Linked DNA regions of Styela clava. The main gene of each other region encodes a partner of the protein of the gene in region 2 in a complex. Links are inferred from orthologs where the notes say so. Each region holds a gene or a part of one and is shown on either strand. Other genes may lie near its edges.

Region 1 (11,713 bases), on a different chromosome or scaffold from region 2:
GCACAAATTATCATGTATTTGTATCTGAAACAGATATTACCCGGTATTTTTAGCTTCGCACGCAAGCCACAGATGAGAGAGATGAACGAAATAATTTTGACGAAGTCCATGTTCGCTTCTAGAAAGGTTTAATGAGGCAACTAAAAACTTAGCTACAAAGTAGATATCTGTAAAAATATTTAAGGTTACTGTAGATTTAATACCGGCATAATTAGCTCTTCTTAATTGGCATTTTCAAAGTAAGTCGTGAGAAAAAATGCAGTAATAATAAAACTAGAATACTGGTTAGAAACCGAAGGCTTATCGATCGAAGGTTAGGGGATCCCCAAAACAGTGGTCTTACACCATAGTGACACCGTGTGTCCCATTACTAATCAATTAATAACTCGCTAATTACAAGACATTATCCATCCAAAATCAATGGGCTTCTGATCCGAGCTATGATGATTGCACATGCAAAATTTGGAGCAGATTCAACCTCGCTTCCGTGAGATATCGCGTGTATCTAACAGACAAATAAACAAACAAGCAAACAAACAAACAGACAAATACCTATCAACATACTTACCGATCTTAAGATCGATAAGTAATAATATTAGAGGCTATACGACAGTTGAGGCGTCACTCAAAAAATTTAAAGTCAATTAGAGCTTGATTTTAAATGGCTCTTAAATTTGAATGACCCTGCTTGACTTACGCACGATCTAACGAACTAACCTGAACGAACCACAAATATCACACATACATTGCCATTCCGACGACTATGAGCTGCTATGGCAATTTTTCACTAAAACTCCTTTACAGAACAACCACCAGGTCACCTATTCCTTTCACTATTTATTTTATAATTTCCAGTCGTCGTACCTCGAGCTGTCAATGTGATACAAGACATCGAGCGATCTATATTTACGCACTTTCTCGCTCTTCTACGCAAAACGCCCTTCTTCATGCATCAGCTATTTACGTCCCTTCCCTTTCCCATATCGAAATTTTTCGCGAACGAAAATTTTGACTGAGTCATCCATTGTGATTGCGAAAGAAAAATCCAGTTTGCGTTATCGTCTTGCATTTTATCGGAATTTTATCGGAAATCGGAATTCCCTTTTTAGCGTGATTTCTCAGTGCTCTTGCGTAATTCGCTACAATATTCAGCATAAAAGGGGTTTATGGTCCCTCCAAAACATCAAAACTGAGTAACCATCCAGTTTAACCCCACACAAATGAAATGTATCCTTATAACGGCCGCCAATTAAACTTCTAGATGTTAAGTAATGTTCATAGGTCTCATAAATTTAAATTCGAAGTATTTGTAATGTTTTAAAACAATCTATCGAAGAGCTGTGTTCTGGGCAAAGATGTGTTGCTTCTCACGAATGCTCATTGCGAAAAGAATTCTTAAATCAATCAATTTTAAATAACCTTTGACCCGAGAAAATTCATCGAGCGCCGTAAGTTACCTGTTTCAGTAAATTTCGACGATCCAGTCCTGAACAGAGTGTAGGGTTTACATATTTATCCCGGGGGAGAGGAAAGAAATAAGACGACTTAACCATATGGCGAACCACGGACTCTTGTCAGGACTATCCGTTGAGCCGAAAATATTGTTCGAGTTTATTTTTTAAGTCTATTTTGACTCCATACCGGCGGTAGTCAGCATAATAGACGATAAAAGAATTGGTGGAAATAAACTAAAACTGATCACAGAATTTGCATGTGGGATTAAATACGGAAAAATTAAATACATACTGTAGCAGTCAGCTAGTAGAAACACATAGGATAATAATTCAGGTGTCAAGTTTGGCTCTCATCCGGACGCTGAGTAAAAACTAAATTAAATTTTAATCTTGACTCAACGGGTCTCGTGTAGTTTCGTACCTAACGTACTTCTAGTAGGCGTAGCATAACAATCATTTGACATGCCAATCCTAACCCTCACCTGACTACGCCATCCAAAAATTACGTCACTACGACGTCACAATCACGTCATAGAGGTTGCCAAATACTCGTACGATCGCCCGAAATGGCATCGACGCCGACGATAAAGAACTGACTAACGTCAGCGATCTCTCTCCTATCGGGATCGTTGCGACTAGAAAACGAGAGAAATGGCTGTTCGATTTCGGGTTCTCGTCTGCGCGTCTTGGTTGATAGTTCGCATAGTTTGAAGGACACTATCACTGTGACGTCGTAGTGCTGTAGTGACATAATTTTTGGATGGTGTGGTCAGGTGGGGGTTAGGATTGGCATGTCAAAAAATTGTTATGCTACGCCTACTAGAAGTACGTTAGGTAGGAAAGTACATGAGACCCGACTCAACTATTGGATATTCTGATATTTGAAATCTGTTTAGTGGTTGTTTTGGGGTCTGGTATAGTTTGGTCCCACGTGCACTTCTAGTTGGCGTGGCTCGACAATTTTTTGCATATGTCAATTCCAACCCTTACCTGACTACGTCACCGAAAAATTATGTCATTTCGACGTCACAGTGGCGTACTAAGGCCCACCATAGTATGCTGATTGTCGTCCAAAACACGCAGACGATCACCCGAAATCGAGCAGGATATTTCTCTCGTTTTCTCTTCAACGATCACAATAGGAGAGATATCGACGCCGTTAACGAGTTTGTTATAAGCGGAGCAGATGCCAGTTCGGGCGATCGTAATTATACTTTGGCAAGCCCTATGACGTGATGGTGTCATCTTAGTGACGTAATTTTTAGATGGCATAGTCAGGTGGGGGTTAGGAATAGCATATGCAAAATTCGTTATGCTACGCTCACCGGAAGTACTTGTGGTACTAAACTATACTAGACCCTTGTTTTGTACCGTATTTCGCCCACTTGGGTTGGAAGTTTCTAGTCTAAGCATAGATCGAAATATCTGTTTTTCACTGATTCATTACCAATTGCTATATTTAAACTGCATGAGGGGAGCTCTGATGGTCTTATCGCTCTCCCCAGTCTATACTATGGATGTACCAATGTATCGGTATCGGCAACATCGGCCAATTTTTCGGTATCGGTAGTGTATCGGTATCGGCTAAATGAAGACCAATATTTCCGATATGTTTACCTTTTTGATATGATTCAGAATAAGTTGGAATACTCATGTTTAAATTATTTTTTGTTTGGGGGAATTGTGAACTATGAGTCATACACGTCCCCACCCCAGCGAGAAGAAACGAGAATGGGATTCTGACCTGTTCTAAGTTATTTATCAGCCAAACGCTCAACTAATTTGGCTATTTTTACTGCCAAATTTTTATAGTGACGTTTTCAATATCACATAGTAATTATGAATAGTAGCCTATATCAATCGAATATTAGTGGATTTTCTAAAGTGTAAAATACAAAATATGTCGTTTTATTGGAACAAAATCTTGCGCACGTAACTCAATGTATCAATTTGATAGGATAAGTAGGCTAAACATTTATTTATTCCACTTTCCTGGTAGCAAAACCTTATGAGCAGGGATGGCCATACCCATCGACTATTTCGAATACATTCTAAAAATATTCTCGATACTGAAATTCCTAATACATTGTAAAATCCAGGGACATATACATCAGTCTTTGATAATGTTATCATTGTAAAGCAGTCAATAGGCATGTGTGATATAAATGAAATTGCTCTAAGAAAGTAGACTTAATAGGCATTAATAATAAGAGTAACTAGGAGCCCAGTTTTAAATCATAGTGTATAAACGTCTTTATTAACAGCATACGCACTTTTTGGCACGGTCATAAATTCTGACTGTTTATTGTTAAGCGCTAGTGTCATTTAGTCCATCCACATCTTTAAGTTAAATTCCGACTCAATTATCTTTCTACACAGGTATTAAATATTTGATATCATTAGTATTAACTATACAATTTCCTCGTATATTTATTGCCGTGGTCGCCAGGACTATCTTGAAATATACGATAATATTTGCGATATATTATGAAGTAATAAAATCAGAAACATCCTCGACGGGTTATAGGTATTTCTATCCGGCGCTGATTGAAATCCTCTTAATCCGGCTGTAATTTATTGTCGCAACGCACGATTACGATAAAACATAGAATGAAATATATTTGAAATGTTTTCACTTAAAACGTGGACGGCGGCGCTACGACGTGTGGGCAATAATCGATATTCTTATAATGCGATATTCGAAGGTCGCGTTATCAATATTAACTTCGAATTGGACATCCCTGCTTAAGAGTTTTCTAATTGAACACCGAGATTACTAGCTTCAGTACACAATGCATCTAAATTAATTAACGCATCTGAATCCCAAACATCAATTTCTTATGATGTATTATATATATTTTTTTCAATCTGAAATAATGTGTAGTATGAATAATGCTCAACGACTAGTGTTGCACACGCAAGGCAATATTTACATTGTATCGGAATATCTGCAATATCGGCCGCTTCGTAATATCAGTGTATCGGTATCGGCGACAAAAGTGGTATCTGTATTTCTCTAGTCTATACCAAGCAACTTTTCGTATGTTATTGTATATTTTTATTATTGTTACAATGCTCGTTTTTTCTGGTTGACGAAAAATATATCTCTTCAGTGGGTTCGATTTGAACTAAAAGCATGTTTCAAGAATTTTTTTCTGCGCCATACAGACTCTTTTAAAATCAAACAAATTTCTGTTTGGCGTTATTCAAGCAGTTTTGGGGTTTACTTCGCAAGACCCGGGACAGGCTGGTGAAAGCCTGTTTTATCCACATTTTGATGGACTTCTTTTAATTTTTACGTTTATCCATGTGCTCATGCTGAGAGTTATCTGAATACAGGAATACAAAAATAAGCTATTACTATTACAGTATCGCTCAGTTCTTCCGATTCCAAGAATATAACCCCCACATTATGAGATAACAATGAATGCAAACCCCTCCTTCAGCAGTCGCTGTGCAATAAATTAAAAGAAAACGCAGTCTAAAAATGTCACCATTGAATTCCTTCGGGAAAAAAAAATTCTGTAGCATTCGAGAGATTTTAGCAAAATATATTTGACAGAACAACTTTTGGTTACAACACCATTGACTCTTGTCACGATTGCACGACATACATGGTGCAATCTTAGAAATATGCCGTTGTGGAAGAAAAAGAGATCTTGTTTTATGTATCCAAATAATAAGACATCTTTAATAAGACTGAGAACCACTAAATGTCTATTTTATTTGGCTTGCAGTGTTGCAAATCGTGCCAAGCGTTAGGGATACGCTCGCCACGCCTCTGATTACTTGTGTGAGTTCACGGGTTCAAATCCCATATCGGGATAGTTATGTGACTCCTCGCCATCGTAGGTTACAACTTCCGTCACCATCAAGTCCATGCTCCCCAAAACAAGTAATACCATACGCCATACCGCACATGAACTGGTAACCAGACGAGATGCCGTGGTTTGCCATATGATTAATCGTATCATCAGCTTTCTTCTCCCCCGAGATAGGTGTGCCTAGATAAGTTAAGGGAATATCCGGTTATCACCCCGCCACTAAATTTTCTATCTTTTTTTTTATTTCCTATCATTAATTCTTTTTTGGGAGAAATATTACTTGTATTTAGTGTAGTTTTAATTATATTGATTAGTTAATATGCAAATTTCACAATACTACCATTACAAATTCTAGCTGACTTTAGTCTGCATTTTGAAAATTTTTCAATTGCTTTGTTCTGAATGTTGACTTAATGCCACACTGAATAGCTTGGTGTTCTTGGTTGTAGCCCACGGCCGCCGGTTTCACGCTCCGGTTCTTGTGGTCAAATTTGGTACTCATATAGTATGTGAACAAGATGGCGGATAGCAGAACGTAGTATGTGTACCTGGTTGGAGTCGGGCCATAATTTCATGTACAAATACTACAGGAGTCACTTGGCTAGTCCCTGAACTCATAATAGAACTAAAATTGGGATAAAATTATGGCCTAACCCTAACCTGGTACACATAGTACGTTCCGGTGTCTGCCATCTTGGTTCACATACTATGGGAGCGCCCTAAATTTACCTTTGGAATTTTTTTGAAGAGATAAAGGAGAGAAAAACATGTAAGCTCAGGTAAACAGAATCAAAGTTGTCTGGGCCTGTTGACCGTGTATTATTATGTACCATTCTAATCTTTCAGGTTTAAATTAATCAAGCTGAAAAATTGATATGTAATATTAATCTGGTTGAATTTCAATCAATATCGCTCATATTTGATGATTAAAATTGCATTGTAACACGGTTGGTTGGCTTCGTCGTTGTCCATTGAACATAACCTAGGTAAGGCTGATGATGATTATATAACGAGTGACGTTACTCAACTGTATTACTCTGGAATAAACTGACTGATTTATTTACCACGATGGCGGGAATACGCGAAAGAAGCGTTTGTGTCGAGCTCGCAATGGAGGGAGAACGACTTTGTAAATCTGGCGACTGTCGAGCTGGAGTGCAATATTTTGAAGAGGCTGTGAGACAAGGCACAGGTGAGGGATTTTATTGGAACTTATGGATTGCTTTCAAAATTGTTTTTTTAATGTTAGCGGTTTGTCCATAGGAAACGGGATATTTGGTTTTGTAACTTCATCTATGGTTTTTCTAGCAGTGTTGAGTTGTCATTTCCTAGTTATGTTCAACTACTATCCACTGGCATGTCTTTCATGATGATAAACCTAAGCTTAGAGTAATAGTGTTAGCTTGCAATTCATCTATCAGTACTCTTTCTACTTTTAGTTGAGGGATCAGGACCTTGCTTTGAGCAAACTTGCAACTCTTCTATCAGTACAATTTCGACTTTCAGTTGAGGGCTCAGGACCTTGATTTGTGCAAACTAACCGTATATACTCGCAGATAGGTCGCAATTTTTTCCTTATATTTAAAAAATATATAGGTGCGACCAATCCTCTTTCTACTCTTAGTTGAAGGCTTAAACATTGCTCCCTCATTTTACAGAGGACCTAAAGACACTCAGCGCAATCTACAGTCAGCTGGGCAACGCATATTTTTATCTGCAAGAATATCATAAAGCGATGGAATATCATAACCATGACAGAACCTTGGCGCGGTGAGACATCTTTTGGTACTCCTTTAGTATGTAAACCAAGATAGCGGACACCGGAACGTAGTATGTGTACCCTCTTAGGGTTAGGCCCTAACTTCAGGTACAAATACCACAGGAGTCACTTGGCCTAGCCCCAAACTCGTAATAGAACTAAAATAGGGAAAATCAAAATAAAATTATGGCCTAATCCTAACTTGGTACACATACTCAGGTGTCCGCCATCTTGGTTCACATACTACGAGAGTGTCCATCTTTTACCTTTCGTTCAATTAGCTAAATTGCTGTTATTGTGTAAATCACTTTGTATGCTACTAATGGATTTTGGAAACCTAAAAAAACATTTTTATGAATATATTTTTTTATCGTTCATTTTGTTTTCTATCATTTATCTACTAGTAACAATCAAGGCTATGCGGTCAAGAAGTATTTATTATCGACTAATGGGTGAAAGTATTTCACCCAAAACTGCTGGATTCCAAGCTTAAACCTTGGTTAGACGAAGTGATACAGGAATATGTTTATGTTATTGTGCAGAAAGACTCTTGAACTAATGACAATCCTATTCAGTTTGAAAAATTTATCATTTTTTCATATAATATGATAACTTGAAAACTAGTTAGCGATCGGAGACTGCCGACTTATCAATCTGCGATTTCGACTTCTTCGCTCTGACTCAATAGCGACACCACGTGTCCCATCACTAATTGATTAATAACTCGCTAATTATACGACATAATTCATCCAAAATTAATAGGCTTCTGGTCCGAGATATGATGAATGCACATGCAAAATATTCGGAGCATATTGAACCTCGCTTTTGTGAGATATTGCAGAACATACGAAAGTGTCTAACAGACAAATACCCATCAACATACTTACCGATGGAAATCGATAACTAATATGCAGGGTTTCTGAATTTTTTGGTATTATGGAGCCCGTGAAAAGGTTGACTATTCTTTATCGAGCCCCACAATAAATTTATAAAAATAAAAAACACATTATTACTCAATGATTAATGTTACTGAGTGAACTTAAATCACTTTATTTAATGACTCGGATGTATTTGCTCCTTCGTATCTTAAAAATATTTATTATTTCCAATATTTCCAATAAGTAAACGAGTAGTTCCCAGAGCCCCTAGGTTTACTAATGAATCCTTGGAGATCCTCTTCGAGCACTTCAAGACCAATTGCGTCGAATGTTATTAAAGATATTGATTTGTAAACCTGATTGATTTTGAATTACATTTTGCTCATTTATGCTAATGATTATGGTGCTTAAGGATCACCTTTAAACCCTTTTTGATGAGAGCAATATTGGATAAGCAGAGTGTTAAGATTAAAAATTAAATCGACATGTTATTGCTTGTATCTGTGGTACGTGATTATATTGACGAAGCGCAGCTTAAATACTCTTGATATATTGTGAGAAAGGATTTGTTTGAATTAGTCTGGCAGGGTAAGAGCATCTGTAGTAAGAAGGGAATAAATCAGGCGGTTGAGAATATTAATACATGCACAACTGGTGCAAACAAACACAAAACAACAAAATTAATGTTAAAGATATAGACCAGGGTGGTCCAAATTCAGGCCAGCGGGCCACATGTGGCCCGCCACTTCATCATCTGTGGCCCGCGTCGCATTCGGAGAGGAATCAAAAAATAGCATTTCGTGTTGTTTCGTCATAAAATCAACCAAAAAATCTTTTGACATATTGTTGCATCACTAATGTTACTGAATTGACTAGTGTTATGGCTGGCTGAGGCAACTAGCGAAGTTAAACGAGCGAAATTCTTGGCACTATTGTGACCCGCGAACAATGCAAAAGTAATTTTGTGGCCCGCGGAGCTGCCAATCTTGGACCACCCTGATATAGACCCTAGAAACGATCGCTAAACCAGGGTGGGCAAAATTTTTTAGTATAAGAGCCATATGCGACAAGTCAGAAATATGTGAGAGCCGCATAATTTTTGAAAATTAATGATATTAGATTACCGTGAACTGAGATGAGCTTTACACAAACGTTTAATAACAATATTGCAGAGTATATATGGCAATGCCATATCAGAAGTAGTTTACTTGTGTGTTCTCATCCTGTCTGAAAGTTTTTAAGAGTCTTTGTGATATGCGCCAACGCAGCAACAAACATTGATCATTGTGATGTAAGATTTGTTGTTTGACTGATTCGAATTCCACGCTGCGATTTTCATACTAAATCATAATTTATCTTAATCATTGATGAAAACTTTTCGACCGCTCAATGAATTTAAAAAAACTGTTTCGCTACGGTTTCTCTTAATTAATTTTATTAAATTTGGATGATAAATAATGCTAACGAGAAGAGCCGCATAAAAAGTCCGACGAGTCGCAGTTTGCCCATCGTTGCGCTAAACTATATCAAATAATGGGTATAACCTAAAATCACACCTTTTTAAGGAATGCTGGAACAAAATATATTTGAGAAGTTGCGACTCTGATTGGGGATTTTGAAAATACGACTCTTTATACTCTACTGCCCCCTAGTGTATTCTATCTTTATCCAAATGTTAAATTTAATTATATTTCTTTCTACTTAGAACTACCGGAGATAAAATAGGTGAAGCAAAAGCAAGCGGAAATCTGGCTAACACTCTCAAAATGCTCGGAAAATTTGAAGAAGCTGTCGCTTGCTGTGACCGACATCTTGAGATATCAAGAGAATTGAAAGACAAGGTAAAACATTTACTGTATTTTGCGAATTCATCCAAATGGATTGTTATTATGAAAACAATGACTAGATTAGGTTTTGCTTCTTAAGGCGCAACAGTGTAGGCAATAAAGCATTATCTATCCCAGGCATTAGGCTCCATGCAAATATGTCATGTCATATTTGCAGAAATAAACTATTTTATTTTCTATCATCTTTTAGTCTAGGTTTCAAAGATTACTGGTTTAGTTTTAAATAGATCTTAGGCATACAAGGCGCACAATCAATTTTTGAGAAATTTTTTTCATCCAAGTTCACAAATGTCGTTACGTTAAATACCGGTATCGTTAATAATCAACTTTGCCGAAGCAAGGGAGACTCATCTCAAGGTTACGGGTAACTACCGCAAATACCAGGAGCAACTGAAACCATAAAACGAGAATATCGGTTAGAGACCGATGACTTATCGATCGAAAGTTAGGGGATACCCCAAAACAGCGCTCTTACTCCATAGTGACACCTTGTGTCCAATCACTAATTAATTAATAACTCGCTAATTATACGACACAATTCAACCAAAATCAATAGGCTTCTGGTACGACATATGATGAATGCACTTGCAAAATTTGGAGCATATTCAATCTCGCTTTCGGGAGATATCACGTTCATCTAACAAACAGACAGACAGACAAATACATATCAACATACTTACAAATACATATCAACATACTTACAAATACATATCAACATACTTACCGATTAAAATCGATAAGTAATAAAGTTTCGGAGGTGGCAATCTGTGATTGATAATTGCAATAATTGATTAACACTAAACTGAGACCACAAGAAAATATTCTAAATTTCATTTTTTGCAGGCGGGGGTTGATATCTAAGCGAAATTACTTCCAATCACTGAAATGCCAAAGAGCTGCTGTTATTAATTGACTGACACCGGACTGGAGCCGCAATCAAATACTTATAGATTTTAATTTATGTTCCAGGTGGGGGAAGCTCGTGCTCTTTACAACCTGGGCAATGTTTATCACGTTCAAGGGAAACAAGGTCTGAACAGCAGAGCGATCGATCGTCCCCCCCAACACCCGGAAGAAGCCGTAGGGTTAATGAGAAAAGCAATAAAGTATTATGAGTAAGTGGTGTTTTATTTTACGGTACGGTACCGGTACAATATAGTGAGTTAAGATAAGATTTACATATTTATCCCGGGGGAGAGGAAAGACGGCTTAACCATATGACGATCCACGGCCTCTCGTCCGGTTACCATTCCATGTCAGGTATGGGATTAGATTTACTGTATTGTTTGTTTTCGGAAGCATGGACTTGATGGTGGAGGAAGTCGTTACCGACCAGCGGTTACGTGAACCACCCAACGACGACGAGGAGTCCAGCAATCCTATCGCACATAACCAACCCGCATGGGATTCGAACCAGCGAACACACGCTTAGCACGATGAGCCACACTGCCGCGCCAAATATATTTGGTTATGAATGAGTCATTTACAAGTAGCATATATGTATAATATTGTAACTCTTGTAACTTTATATCAAGTCCATGCTTCCGAAAACAAATACCTGGATAAACCATACCCGACATGGACTGGTAACCGGCCGAGAGGCCGTGGTTCGCCATGTAGTTAAGCCGTCCTGTCGGCATTCCTTCCCCCGGGATAAATATGTAAATCCTATCCTATCCCATATTGTATGTGATAAAATTTGAAAATTGCAAAGGAAATTTATCGATACCATATATTGTTTTGGCCCTCACAGATGTATTGAAAAAAGTGAAAATACTTGAACAATTACTGATTAAAAAAACAACAAACCTGGTTGAGAACTGACTTCATAACAAAATTGAAATTGTAAAGGAACTTTATGGACACCCTGTATTTTGATGAAATTTGCTTCAAACTAAGGAGCGTCTTGACATGATACCATTTTCAAATAAAAATAATTTTTTCGAAATTC
Region 2 (12,195 bases):
GGGCCGCAAAAAAATGGCTGGCGGGCCACGTGTTGGAGACACCTGGCTTAGAGTGTGCTGCCCATCCATAATTTGAACTAGAAGCTGGTTAAATTAGTTATGCATAGAATCAAAATATATCATTATCAGTTGGAACTGAAGATTAATTAAATTAGTGAAATTGTATTTCTACTTCTACAGATTTGTGGAGATGACTCTGATCAGAAATGAGGTTAAAAGAGAAGTAAAAAGCTTACTGGAAAATTTAAAAATAGCAATTGATTATGAAATATCAAGACTGGACATTTTTGTTTCATATGATTTCTCAGTGGTTAGATTCACTTTGAAATTCTTCTTTCTGTTACAACTCTTTGGAGATATTTTAGCCTGGTCCGATATATGTAGTTTCACAAATATACAGGCCTATATTATCAAACATATACATATTATATATCTTAATATTAAAATTACCGTAAGTCTATATTAATATCATAAATGAGGTTCCAACTCCAATCCTCAAACTATCACGAACACATCAAATACACTATGAAATCAGACAAATATATCAACCTTTTGTCTTCCATAGAAGTAATGGGATAACTGAATATAGATGTAAAACACAAAGTGAAGAAACACCCAAACATATTTGTCTTCTGTCACTGTATGAAGTGATGAAATGTAGGGACTTTTTTATATTATTAAACCCAACTCCCAAAAGTGTGCAACAGTGAAACAACAGAAATTAAGATGGAAAAAATGGCAAATGAATATTTAAAAACAAGTTGCTGTTATCTACAGTGCCAATATAATATTTTTACAGCAAAAAAAAAAACAAAAGAATATTTGGGTGTATTGATAAATCCGAAGCCCAAAAAATGAATAAATTACTCATTTTTTTTACAATTCAGGATTAAGGTAAGATTTAGAATTATTAAACCTATGAAGTGATCAAAAAATAAGCCCAGTAGTACTAAAGCCATTCAATGTCAAGTGTTGTTTTGAATAAGGATGCCTTTGACATATTTCCATTATATTCTAATGGAATATTATACTTTCTTGCGAAATAAAATACCCTTGGCAGTAACTATAAATTAGAAAAGTGGCCAAGATTGAAAAAATATTTCTAAGAATTGAAAACATTCCAGGAGAAAAGATATTTTTGCACACAACAACCAGGCTATAATGGGGATAAATTATTCAACAGTCTGCAACAGGCACCTGTCAAAAGCAACCTGGCACTGTCAGTCCTCTGCCAATCTAATCCCCATTGACACTGCATAGTAAATGGATGTAAAAAGCTTTGGCAAATACCGCAACAATATTATAAGACAAGAAGACTCATCAAAAAAATGCAAATTCCAATTAGCAAGAAAAAAAGATTCAAAGAATCTTAAAATATGATAGCAAATTTGTTTTTCTTCCATTGGGTGAGTGTATTTCATGTTTCAAAGAACTGAAATTTCAATAAAAAATCATCTTGAACATATCAATCTTAGGAATAATGCCGTCCTTTTAATGTCAAAGCATGTCTTCTTACCCAGTGGGAATTCCTAATACAACATAAGTGAGTGGCAGATACAGGTATTTGTGTCATTTGTGTCAAGCTGTCAATGCACTGCATAGCTCAATCAGTTATTCTGTGTTGCATGAGTTTGACAACTGAATTCACTATAGATAGGAAGTTATAAAAAATGTTCATGATGAAGTCATTTTAGCCAACTTGTTACTAAAGAGTTGCAAAACTGCGCAGGTCTTACACGAAGTCTGCATTTTCCCTTATATCCATATTTAGAAACAAGCCTGCACAATGAGTGCAATTAACTGCTGCAGTTTCATGTTTGTATATAATTTTTAGAATCCTGAAGGGTTACAGATGGTATTTGGCACTGTACCACGGATATGAATTTGGAATTCTGTGCAATTCAGCTAGTTATATGAAGCAATAAATAAATAGGCTTACAAGTATAAAGTTTTATCCAATATTGATATTCTGGGATTCTGATTTGGCAAATTTTAATATAGAATATTCTAAATGGCTTTTCTTCTAAAAACAATAAATTTCACAAAAAACAGTCATTTGATTACGCAAATCTTGAACATGATTTCTCTTTGAATAATAGAAATTTTAACTGTTTTTTAGACTCATTTCATTTGAATTCTTCAGACATCTTTACACAAGATATTCAAAAAAGCATATTTGCATAATTACATTTAAAAAATAAAATATAAAATTTATTTCTAAGCCTTTTTTTAGCTGAAGAAATAACCTATTTCAAACAAATATAGCGAATATCGGGACATGAAAACAAAGACTAAACAATAATCTATAAAAAAATTACTAAATGCTCAAATCTCCCATTTTGAATTTATATACACAAGAAGGTATAGGAGGCCATAGCAGCTACTCACATGTTCCATTGTAAGGGCACTGGTACTGAGCTGATATTCTCTCCGAACATGATCACGGTTTGTTCTGAATTCTTCTGTTGGTAAATTTCCATCTTCCTTGACTCCACTAATAGAGCCGTAGTTGTTTGAAGCAGGTTGCTGATGATAGTATTGCTCCAAATGTTTTGAAGACTCTTTTATAGTCAGTTCATAATATTCGTGAATATCTGAACAAAATATAATAAGGTAATATTCACACCTTTTCAGATGAAACAAACTGTGTCATCCCATCCTAAACAGCACCCCTACATGTAGGCCTATAATCACCAAAATTTATATTTTTTCATACTTTAGGTAAAAAAATGTAGTTTCCCTCATTGAACCATACTTACAAATCATAAACCCAAGGTTTGATGAACAAAAGTGCAGTTAAAAAATTGTTAAAATTGTTCTCATGTCTAACCAGTTGAGTGAACTATACCCTCAAGGATGATAGCATAGATAGAGCACAAGTAAAACAAACAAAGTGTGAATCGACTGCTGACAAAACTGTGATAGCCACATAAGATAATTCATTACAACTCATGGAGGCTCAATCTACATACTTGACTAAATGTGGCATCCATTTAAAAAACATCTATCCCTTCTTCAATAAACTTACTATCTCAGTGATAGTCGATGTGATAAGATAATATCAGTTTTATATTAAGTATGAACTTAATATAAAAAGTAGGTAGGAAACCTAGTTTAAAACAAAACGCATTTCAATTTTTTAAATATTCCATCAATGAATCTGAACAAATAATCATGAGTGGAAGTTGTTAAATAGATGTTAAAAAATCATTGCAAACCAAACAAAATAAATTCAGCACATCTAGTATATTGACAAAACTATGGTAGATCAATTCAAAAAAAAATTTTGAGTAAATCATGTATTCTGATATTATTGTAGCTTTCAAGTCTTGTTATGATTAATCAATCACTATTGTGGATATTTGACTCAGATATGGTGGTGCCATTAGTCAGGGATCACTTATCCATCCCCTCAACATGGTTGTAACTAGGTAAGCAATGCCAGTTATGTTTCACAACACACACCCCTCTCAAGTAGCCGGTTTAGCACAGCTTTGTTAGAAACAAACATGTGAAACCTTTCATGGAAATTATACATAGTAAGACAAACAAGTAAAAGCATCACAATATATTATAAAATGATAAAAACATTGAGCAGTGATAAAAAATAATGAGATCCAAAATTTGAATTTATGACAGTCAAGCTCCAAAATCTTTGAAAAAAAAAATGAAATGACTTTTTTTCTTAGATCATGCATGTTCAAATTGACTAATATGTTGTAAAAGAACAGTTGAATATAAAAAAATTTAATGATATTCAAGCACTAAAACAGAATTTTAATTTGGTAAAATGGTCAAATATATTACATACCTAAGAGAGCGTAAAATAAATCACTTCTAAAAATATCCATGACTTTTTCAAGTGCATCTCTTAGCTGACTATCATCAGGTTTGTTCAGTTTTAAATGATATTGCTTCAGAAGGGCAAGAGCACGGTCAGCATCTAAAAACATTTAGAAAAAAATTGATTGGTAATAAAATAAATCGTGAGCACCTTTGAAAAGCTAATATTCTCAGAAAATCTTAATTTTTAAGTTCTTAGCAGTTCACTATAGAATAAACCAGTGGTTCTTTAAACTTTTTAAGTCCTTTCAGAATTTGTCTAGTCTCGCGCCCAACCTCAAAATAACTAGCTAACAATAGGCTACAAATAACAGATAGTAGGAGGAAAGTATGTTTTGTTAAAAACAAAACATTGAAAATATGTGAATGGAATGTAAATAATGGAATGAATGTAAAGTTTTTAAAACAAACAGGGGCAAGCAAGATCAAATCTAACAAATATTTTTTATTTTTAATTAGCTTCACGCTCCCCAAGAAATTGTCTATGCCCACGTTGTTTGAGAACCACTGGAATTAACTATAAGACTGTATGAGCATAAAGATAGTATTCTAACACATGGCTGGTCAGGTCTCCAAGACATAATGAATCTGACTGAATTGTGGTCCATAGAACCATACAAATATCTTTACCTTGCTTTCTTACAGGCATCTTCAACTTCAGTCACGTCCCGAATATAGTAATATCATAGAAACATAAAATGGGAGGTACATTACTCCGTGTGGGTTCTGTAACTGAAATTTCAAAAATACCCTGAAAATTTGATATCAATGAAAGAAGGAAACATTGGACCACAAAAATTCAGGACATATGAAACAGCGAAATGCAATAACATAATCATATCCAATTTAAAGACTCTAGTACAATGAGTCGAACACTGGTCACTTTTTCAATGACATGAGTTATCTAAATCAGTGATAACCAAAACTCTTTTCAAGTGATCTGAATTTTTCAAAAAAATAAAAAAAAAAGTTTGTTGAATCTTGAAAGAAAAAGTTTGTTGAATCTTGCAACCCAAAGATATGTTTAGATACCAAACGACAAGTGGTGCATCTATGCCTACAATTGAAATTACCAATATGAAAAAACATTAGTATTGGTTTCTTATCACAAATTTTTGAAATTGTACGTCTGTACGTGGATTTCTTAGGCAAAATAGATTTAAGCTTTTAGTTCATGATACTTCCCACATACAGACATATATACACTTAAGACTACTATTGAGCAACACTTCAATATGTACAGACTTGGTCCAAAATAAACAATTCAATTCACTACAAAGATAAAATCAATAACTGTATCGCCTTTGTTAAAAACTAAGCGACCCCAAAATTTCCAAGTGACCCAGCTTTGGGATGCGACCTAAGCACTGATCTAAATGAAGGTATTTCAGGTTACTCAAACTTACTGAACACCACCAGCGAAACTTGAATTGACTCAAAAATATTCTGGTGAAATAAGATTATCCCATGACAGCATGAATTTATGTGATATGGGAAAACCGAATATTCAATAGCTTGTTGCGCCAATAACAAGAGATTGTTTAGTGTTGATGCCTAGGTAAATATTATCGATTTAATTCTATTCGATTTACAAAATAATGCTGGTCTAACACTCTGACACTAGACAGGAACTTTAAGTTTTCCTTTATCCATTTCACTGTTGTTTATAAAATATACTGACTCGAAAATGCAAGGGGTCTGGTATAGTTTAGTACCACATCCACTTCTAGTTGGCCTGGCTCAACAATTTTTGCATATGTCAATCCTAACCCCCACATGACTACGTCAGCGAAAAATTACGTCATTCCGACGTCACAGTGGCGTAATAAGGCCCACCGAAGTATGCGGATGGTCGTCCAAAACGCGCAGACGATAACCCGAAATCGAGCAAGCTATTTCTCTCGTTTTCTCGTCGCAACGATCGCGATAAGAGAGAGACTTTAGCAAGTTCTTATCGGCGGCGCAGATGCCATTTCGGGCAATCGTAATCATACTTTGGCAATCCCTATGACGTAATTTTGTGACGTAATTTTTGGATGGCATAGTCAGGTGAGGGTTAGGAATAACATATGCATAAATCGTTATGCTACGCCCACTGGAAGTACTTGTGGTAATAAACTATACTAGACCCAATGCAAGAATGAGATTGCAGGATTAGGACCCCTGTACTCCTGCACTTGCAACTTGAGGCTTAGGGACTTTATATCAGACACTGAAAAATATTTGATCGGATTTTGGACTACATGAAAAAGATACAAAATCTATTAGTACAGATTTATCAATTATAACAACATTCAGACTTTAGGTTCCAAAACCTATTTTCTGTATTTAATAGATTGACTGAGCATCTGACCATTTTGTCCATCAATTATAGAGGCATCACACAGCTAGCGAGCATTTTTGAACTCGGCTCTTTGAACCACGTACTACAGCTCTAATACCTACGGTATACTTGGCAGCGGGATAAAACAAACCACGATTATATCTCACACTTCGCGTAATACGCGAATTTTAAATACAATACTCAACATGGCGAATCAAGACGGTGATATATGTCACTGCACAATATTATATTCGTAATTTGGGTATTAAATCTGTAAATACTAAAATTGAATCGTGAAGAAAACAGAAGGCCATACATCTCTACTGAAACGAACAAGCCGCCGTTTGTGTCTTTTTACATGGGTTACCGTACTGCTGAATTGCGAAGTTTCTGGGAATAAAACACATCCTATCTTTATCGAGCATGAAGTTTCGGACGAATATAATAATTGAAATATCAGTGGGCGAATTAACTTCACTGGAAGTCGTTTAGAGGTCGATGCGAATTTTGTAATCGGTGTTATCCTCAATATCTGTATGTGCTTTTTCTACTCCCATAAATTTCCTTTAGCACCGTTTTCATGAAAACTAATGGAATCAAATTCGTTTTATTACTTTTATCACTGGTCAGTGGCAAATTCCATTAATAAGGCCTAAGAAAAAAAAAACGACATTTGTGACGTCATTGATGACACCGATTTACATCGGCTTCATAAGAACTTGCTAATTGTTAACGTTGGTGTATTATGCTCGCTGGCTGAACGCCAAAGCGGGACTTTTGACTGACCGGTCGGGACGCCGGGACAAGACGTTAAAAAGTGGGACTGTGGGACCAATGACATTAAACAACATGATGCGCAACTCCGGCATTTTTGGCCGAAGATCGTATCCAATAGCACGCTCCAATGCACATACTTGACGAGACGAAAACGAGCGGATGTGTGCTGTTTTCAAGGTATAGCACAAATGGTGTTCGTGCCTGCTTTGACAGTTGTTATCAATTTTAATGATATTTTGGAAAGTTGAGGTAAAAAGAAATCGGAAAAAGGTAAGGTGAATACTATTGTTGTATATCACACCCGGGCATCGCACTGTTAAGTACATCTGGAAAAGCCAGCTTTTGTCAAATACTACGAAGTTATTAATTCAGCACGATACGTAGTTGCCCATTTGCCGAAATTGCATGTTTACCTAACCTTTATGGTTTCAAATAGTTCATGCACCTCCATTTAGATTTTTTTAATCAGTGAGGATATATACTCATTGCTGTAACATACTATTGCTCATTCACTTTTATTTGCGTATTGAATCAAAAGGTTAACAAGTTCACCTAACATTTCACTCATACCGGTCTATATTGTATAGTCTGATCTCTCAAGTATTTGGAGCCACGAATGCTTGTAATTTTCTGACTAAACCCCTTTATAGAGGACTTGCACGGGTCACGTGACCTTGTTACTGGACGGCAATAAAACAAAAACGTCCATTTGGCTCCTGTCAGTTGCAAGTCGGATTATACGTTTCCGTTTTGTTTGGCTGTTGAAAATGGTTATTTCGTATTGTTCCGCTGGCTGTACGTATAGTATAGACAACGAAATGGAACTTCAGCTATATTCCACTGTTTTCAAAAGATCCGGAACGTCGCGCAATGTGGATATCATCTATTGGCAGGACTGCTTGGTGTCAAGTCCAGAAGCCATCTTACTCGTGTTTCACTGTTTGCGGACAGCACTTCGTTGATGGTGAGTCATGATGTGCCGTTATCAATTTTTTTAAATATTCATAAGCTCCCTCATTTCAATGGAAAGCAGATGACAAACTATTGTTATTGGTAGGCTTAGGCCTACTTGCAGACTTGACTCGTGTAAGGTATTAATCAATAATTGCCATAAGGTATTGTTTCCCTAGTTAGCAGGTAATCTATTAGTAATTGTGAAAATTTGAATAGATAACTAAAGTTTAATGCCAGTGCTAATGCAAAAAATAACCAGAATTCAATTGAATTTTCCATCTGAGAATACGCTCGCCACCGCATCTCTGATCCCCATGGGCAGATGGGAGTTTCACAGGTTCCAATCCCATGCGGGGATAGTTATGTGCGAGGGGACGAGGAGATTGCAGCTCCTCCCACTGAGGGTGGTTCATACGACCGCTGGGCGATTACGACATACCCCACCATCAAGTCCATGCTTCTAAAACAAATAACTGACTAACTAATCCCGACATAGAATGGTAATCGTACGATGTTGCACCTTGCAATCTGTCCCCAACCACAGATAAATTCTATCCTAAAAACTACCCACATTGGTAGGCATAGTTGCGTTTTAAATTGAAAGAAATCTTCATTAATGGTCAGAAGGTGTTGTCTGATTATTTTGGTAGTTAGCAGGTAATTTATTACTGATCTGATACACAAACTTGGCACTGTCAAATGATGATTAGTGTTTAATTTATTTTCAGGAAAAGGGAAGATAACCCATTATCAGCTGCTTACATGTTCCATCGATATTTGAATTTTCGCCATCCCCAGAGAAGAAGAGAATAGTTCGAAAAAGGAGGATTTTGAAGAAAGGAAAAAGGCAGGACCATTTCAACAAATTCTGTTAACTTGTATGCGTTGCAATATTAATTCGCAGTTGTTAGCATAAACATTTAATGTGTCTTTCGACTAGACCTACCACACTTAAAAAAAAACGCCCACACCCCTTTTCACTAGAACCATAATACTGTAAAATATTTGATAGAAATTACCCCCGAGGCATCATATCTTTCATTTGAAAGGGCTGTGGAGGCAGATACATTTTTTACTCTAAATTATGGAATGTTACTTCCAGGTTATCTTATCCTTGCTTATAGATATCTTGAGGTTAGTGACTCCAACTGACCCATGCATGCCACACTGAAAATTCTCTTGTGTACCCATAAAATAAGGCTGTTGGAGCCTTCAGACCTTGAAAACAGTCGAATCTGAGCACGATGGATTCATGTGAAACACATAATATGCATTTAGAGGCAAAAATATCCCATCCTGAGCAGCACCGATCCACAACATCCTGCCTATGGAATCAAAACATTAGACAAATTGGTGTACTGTGCGCATTCACAAATTTTTGCGAATCAAGTGTGCCTTTTGACTAAAGAAATTGTTTTTTGAAAATACATTTTTGATGTGCTTTATTTTTCAAATATAATTTATAATTACTGTAAAGTGTGTGATACATTTGGTACCATGAATACTATTTGCAAATTAGCTTGGGTTACACCCCTCTCAAATAAAAGTTTAGACTCTTAAGTCGTATCTCATAATATTCTTTAAACAAAAGGTTGCGGCTAGCTGGCTACCCATCAGAATTTCCTTTCAGATCACAAAAGTCGCAATATTACGCCTCGCTTAAGTTTCATTGGCAACTGTATCTGGTTGTAGTATCGGTGTCCATCGTTAGACTGAAACCTTCACGACCAGACCCACCGAAACAATTTTTTTTTCTTGATAGGGTCGTCTTGAAGTTGATTTCGTTAAAGCACAATGGACACTTTATCTCCACCAATCCACAGTAATGACAAGTTACTTTTTCATTACGATAAGCATCAATAAATGGATACTGAGGATGTATTATCAAGTCACGCAAGCTGAGGTCTTGTGCCACTGTGGTCTTGTTGCAACTTATACTTTGCCATCCATCTATTCCATGGTCGCACCCATATCTGTAAGATAATGGATACAGATAAGAGTTTTCATAAAATCTAACGATCAAGGAGTGTGAAATTTAGGGCTGGGCATTTCGATTTCAGAATCGAATCGAATAATTTTTTCGAATCGAATCTCGAATACTTGAAAATATAAAATTGTAAGCGACTTTATCATAGTAATTGGTCCTCTCAACAAATGAATTACTGAAGACATAGAATAAATCACTCAGATAGATTACTGAGCGTTCACACAGAATAACAAACACGTTTTATCAATAACTCACTACAGAAAATAGTCATATGTTAGAATTTCGTTGAAAAAATATGACTTCAATGAAAAAAAAATTGGGGAATTCACCTCGACCATTAGCGGAAAGATAAAAACAAGATGGCGGCGATTCGAAATTCCAGTCTGAACCGATTCGAATAATTTACTATTCGATTCGAATGGAAATGCCCAGCCCGGGTAAAATTTATGTCCATATCCCACCACAGCCACTAGTCGTAAATGAATTTGATTCCGGGTAGCATATCTTTTTTACCAATGACAATAAAAAGACATTTTGATACAGTTGTACAAGCACCATTAGGATAGGATTTATCTGGGGGGGGGGGGGGGGGAGCCAGTTATTTGTTTTCAGAAGCATGGACTTGGATGGTGGGGAATGGTCGTAACCGATCAGCGGCCATGTGAACCACCCTCGGTGGGAGTGGAGCTGCAATCCTCTGGCACATAGCTATCCCCGCATGGGATTGAAACCTGTGAAACTACCAGGGTGATCAGAGATGCGGTGGCGAGCGTATTCCTAGATGGCGAATTAAATTGAATTCTGGTTATTTTTTGCATGACCAGTGGTGTTAAACTTTAGTTATCTATTCAACCTTTCACACCTAGTAATAGATTACCTGCTAATCAGGAAACAATACCTTCTGTCAGACCTTACAGCAGTACAGCAATTGATTATTAATTCCTTACTGTCTTACACAAGTCAAGTCTGCAACTGCAAGTAGGCCCACGCCTAGGCCTACTGATAACAGTAGTTTGTCATCTGCTTTCCATTGAAATGAGGGAGCTTGTGAATATTTAAAGAAATTGATAACGGCACACTATCACCACATTATCACTCACCATCAACGAAGTGCTGTCCGCAAACAGTGAAACACAAGTAAGATGGCTTCTGGACTTGACACCAAGCAGTTCTGCCAATAGGCAATAGATGATATCCACATTGCGCGACGTTCAGGATTTTTTGAAATCAGTGGAATATTACTGAAGATCCATTTCGTCCATGTCTATACTATACGTACAGCCAACAGAACAACGAAATAACCATTTTCAACAACCAAACAAAACGCAAACGTATAATCCGACTTGCAACTGACAGGAGCCAAATGGACGTTTTTGTTTTATTGCCGTCCAGTAACAATGTCACGTGACCCGTGCAAGTCCTCTATATTAGTTGGTTTATATACCAAATTCAGTAAAACATTTTTTACATAAAACATGAGATATTGGATTTATTAGCTTTTCCATTCTAAATCATATAGACATTATTTATTTATTCCTAACGAAAATTAATAAATCTTCTCTCTTTCTTCAGATGTGAAAGTTGTGGACAAACCTGGGTAAGCATTGTGAGACTCCTGCAGCACAAGAGGCAATAGCAAAAATAGTTAGAGTACTCCATAAATGTTTGCAATAGAAGAACAACCAATGGAGGCATGCAAAGACATTTGATGTCAAACTCGCGGCCCCATAGACCTTCCAGTGCGGCCCTCGAACGATTAACAATAATTGTAATAGTATTTTGGAAGTTTTTTTTTATCTAAATGTAATAGATTTTTCAAACCTTTTAAAGTGAAATTGATTATTCACACAGAAAACAAATTACTGAAATTAGTTTTGAAAAATTATTTTTTTTGTTCACATTTTGACCCAATTAGGAATACACATCAGGCTAGCAAAAGAATACTTGAATAAAACACTTGAGTGATTAAATTAAACGCAAAGTACAAGAAGAAGGTGGCATTTTCGAAAAAATTGGGAGTTGCAATATTTCTGAATTTCGCAAAATTCTGGAGATATTGTTTATTTTGTCATATTTCCATCAGTACAATGAAAAAACACAATAAGCTCAGCAGTCAATATGACAAATTCGAAGAGCAACTTCGAACAGAAAATTTCCATGTGTTGGTATATTAATATAATTATACAACGACTTAGTTACTAAAAATCAATATCAATAATAATTCAAGCAACCCTATGTGGCGCGAAATGTCTTGTCGAAAAAATCTGTCATTTGTTTTTTTACTGATCTATACATGAAATGATAAAAGTAA

The links.
Region 1: the proteins of disks large homolog 4-like (region 2) and G-protein-signaling modulator 2-like are in contact, whole or in part, in a crystal structure (PDB 3TVT), measured with the Drosophila melanogaster proteins. The link is inferred for Styela clava from reciprocal best matches to the Drosophila melanogaster genes dlg1 and pins. Residues at the interface, in NP_996406.1 of Drosophila melanogaster: Cys808, Val809, Pro810, Arg814, Arg817, Arg824, Asp825, Tyr826, Ile839, His842, Phe844, Ile845, Glu846, Ala847, Gly848, Gln849, Tyr850, Tyr855, Ser877, Asn879, Arg883; in NP_524999.2 of Drosophila melanogaster: Arg434, Met437, Gln439, Leu440, Asp441, Leu442, Ile443, Lys444, Ile445, Thr446, Pro447.

The regions. Positions count from the first base shown.
Region 1 is NC_135254.1:1,028,874-1,040,586, reverse strand, and holds the start of G-protein-signaling modulator 2-like, read left to right. Parts: upstream 1-6,125; 5' UTR 6,126-6,346; coding exon 6,347-6,470; intron 6,471-6,936; coding exon 6,937-7,048; intron 7,049-9,620; coding exon 9,621-9,756; intron 9,757-10,731; coding exon 10,732-10,877; intron 10,878-11,713. Other genes in the region: uncharacterized protein LOC144422991, read right to left, coding at 41-110.
Region 2 is NC_135256.1:22,007,275-22,019,469, reverse strand, and holds the start of disks large homolog 4-like, read right to left. Parts: upstream 4,599-12,195; 5' UTR 4,493-4,598; coding exon 4,474-4,492; intron 3,944-4,473; coding exon 3,812-3,943; intron 2,595-3,811; coding exon 2,389-2,594; intron 1-2,388. UniProt on the Drosophila melanogaster protein: During embryonic development, some isoforms are essential for proper neuronal differentiation and organization. Required for cell polarity; maintenance of apicobasal polarity.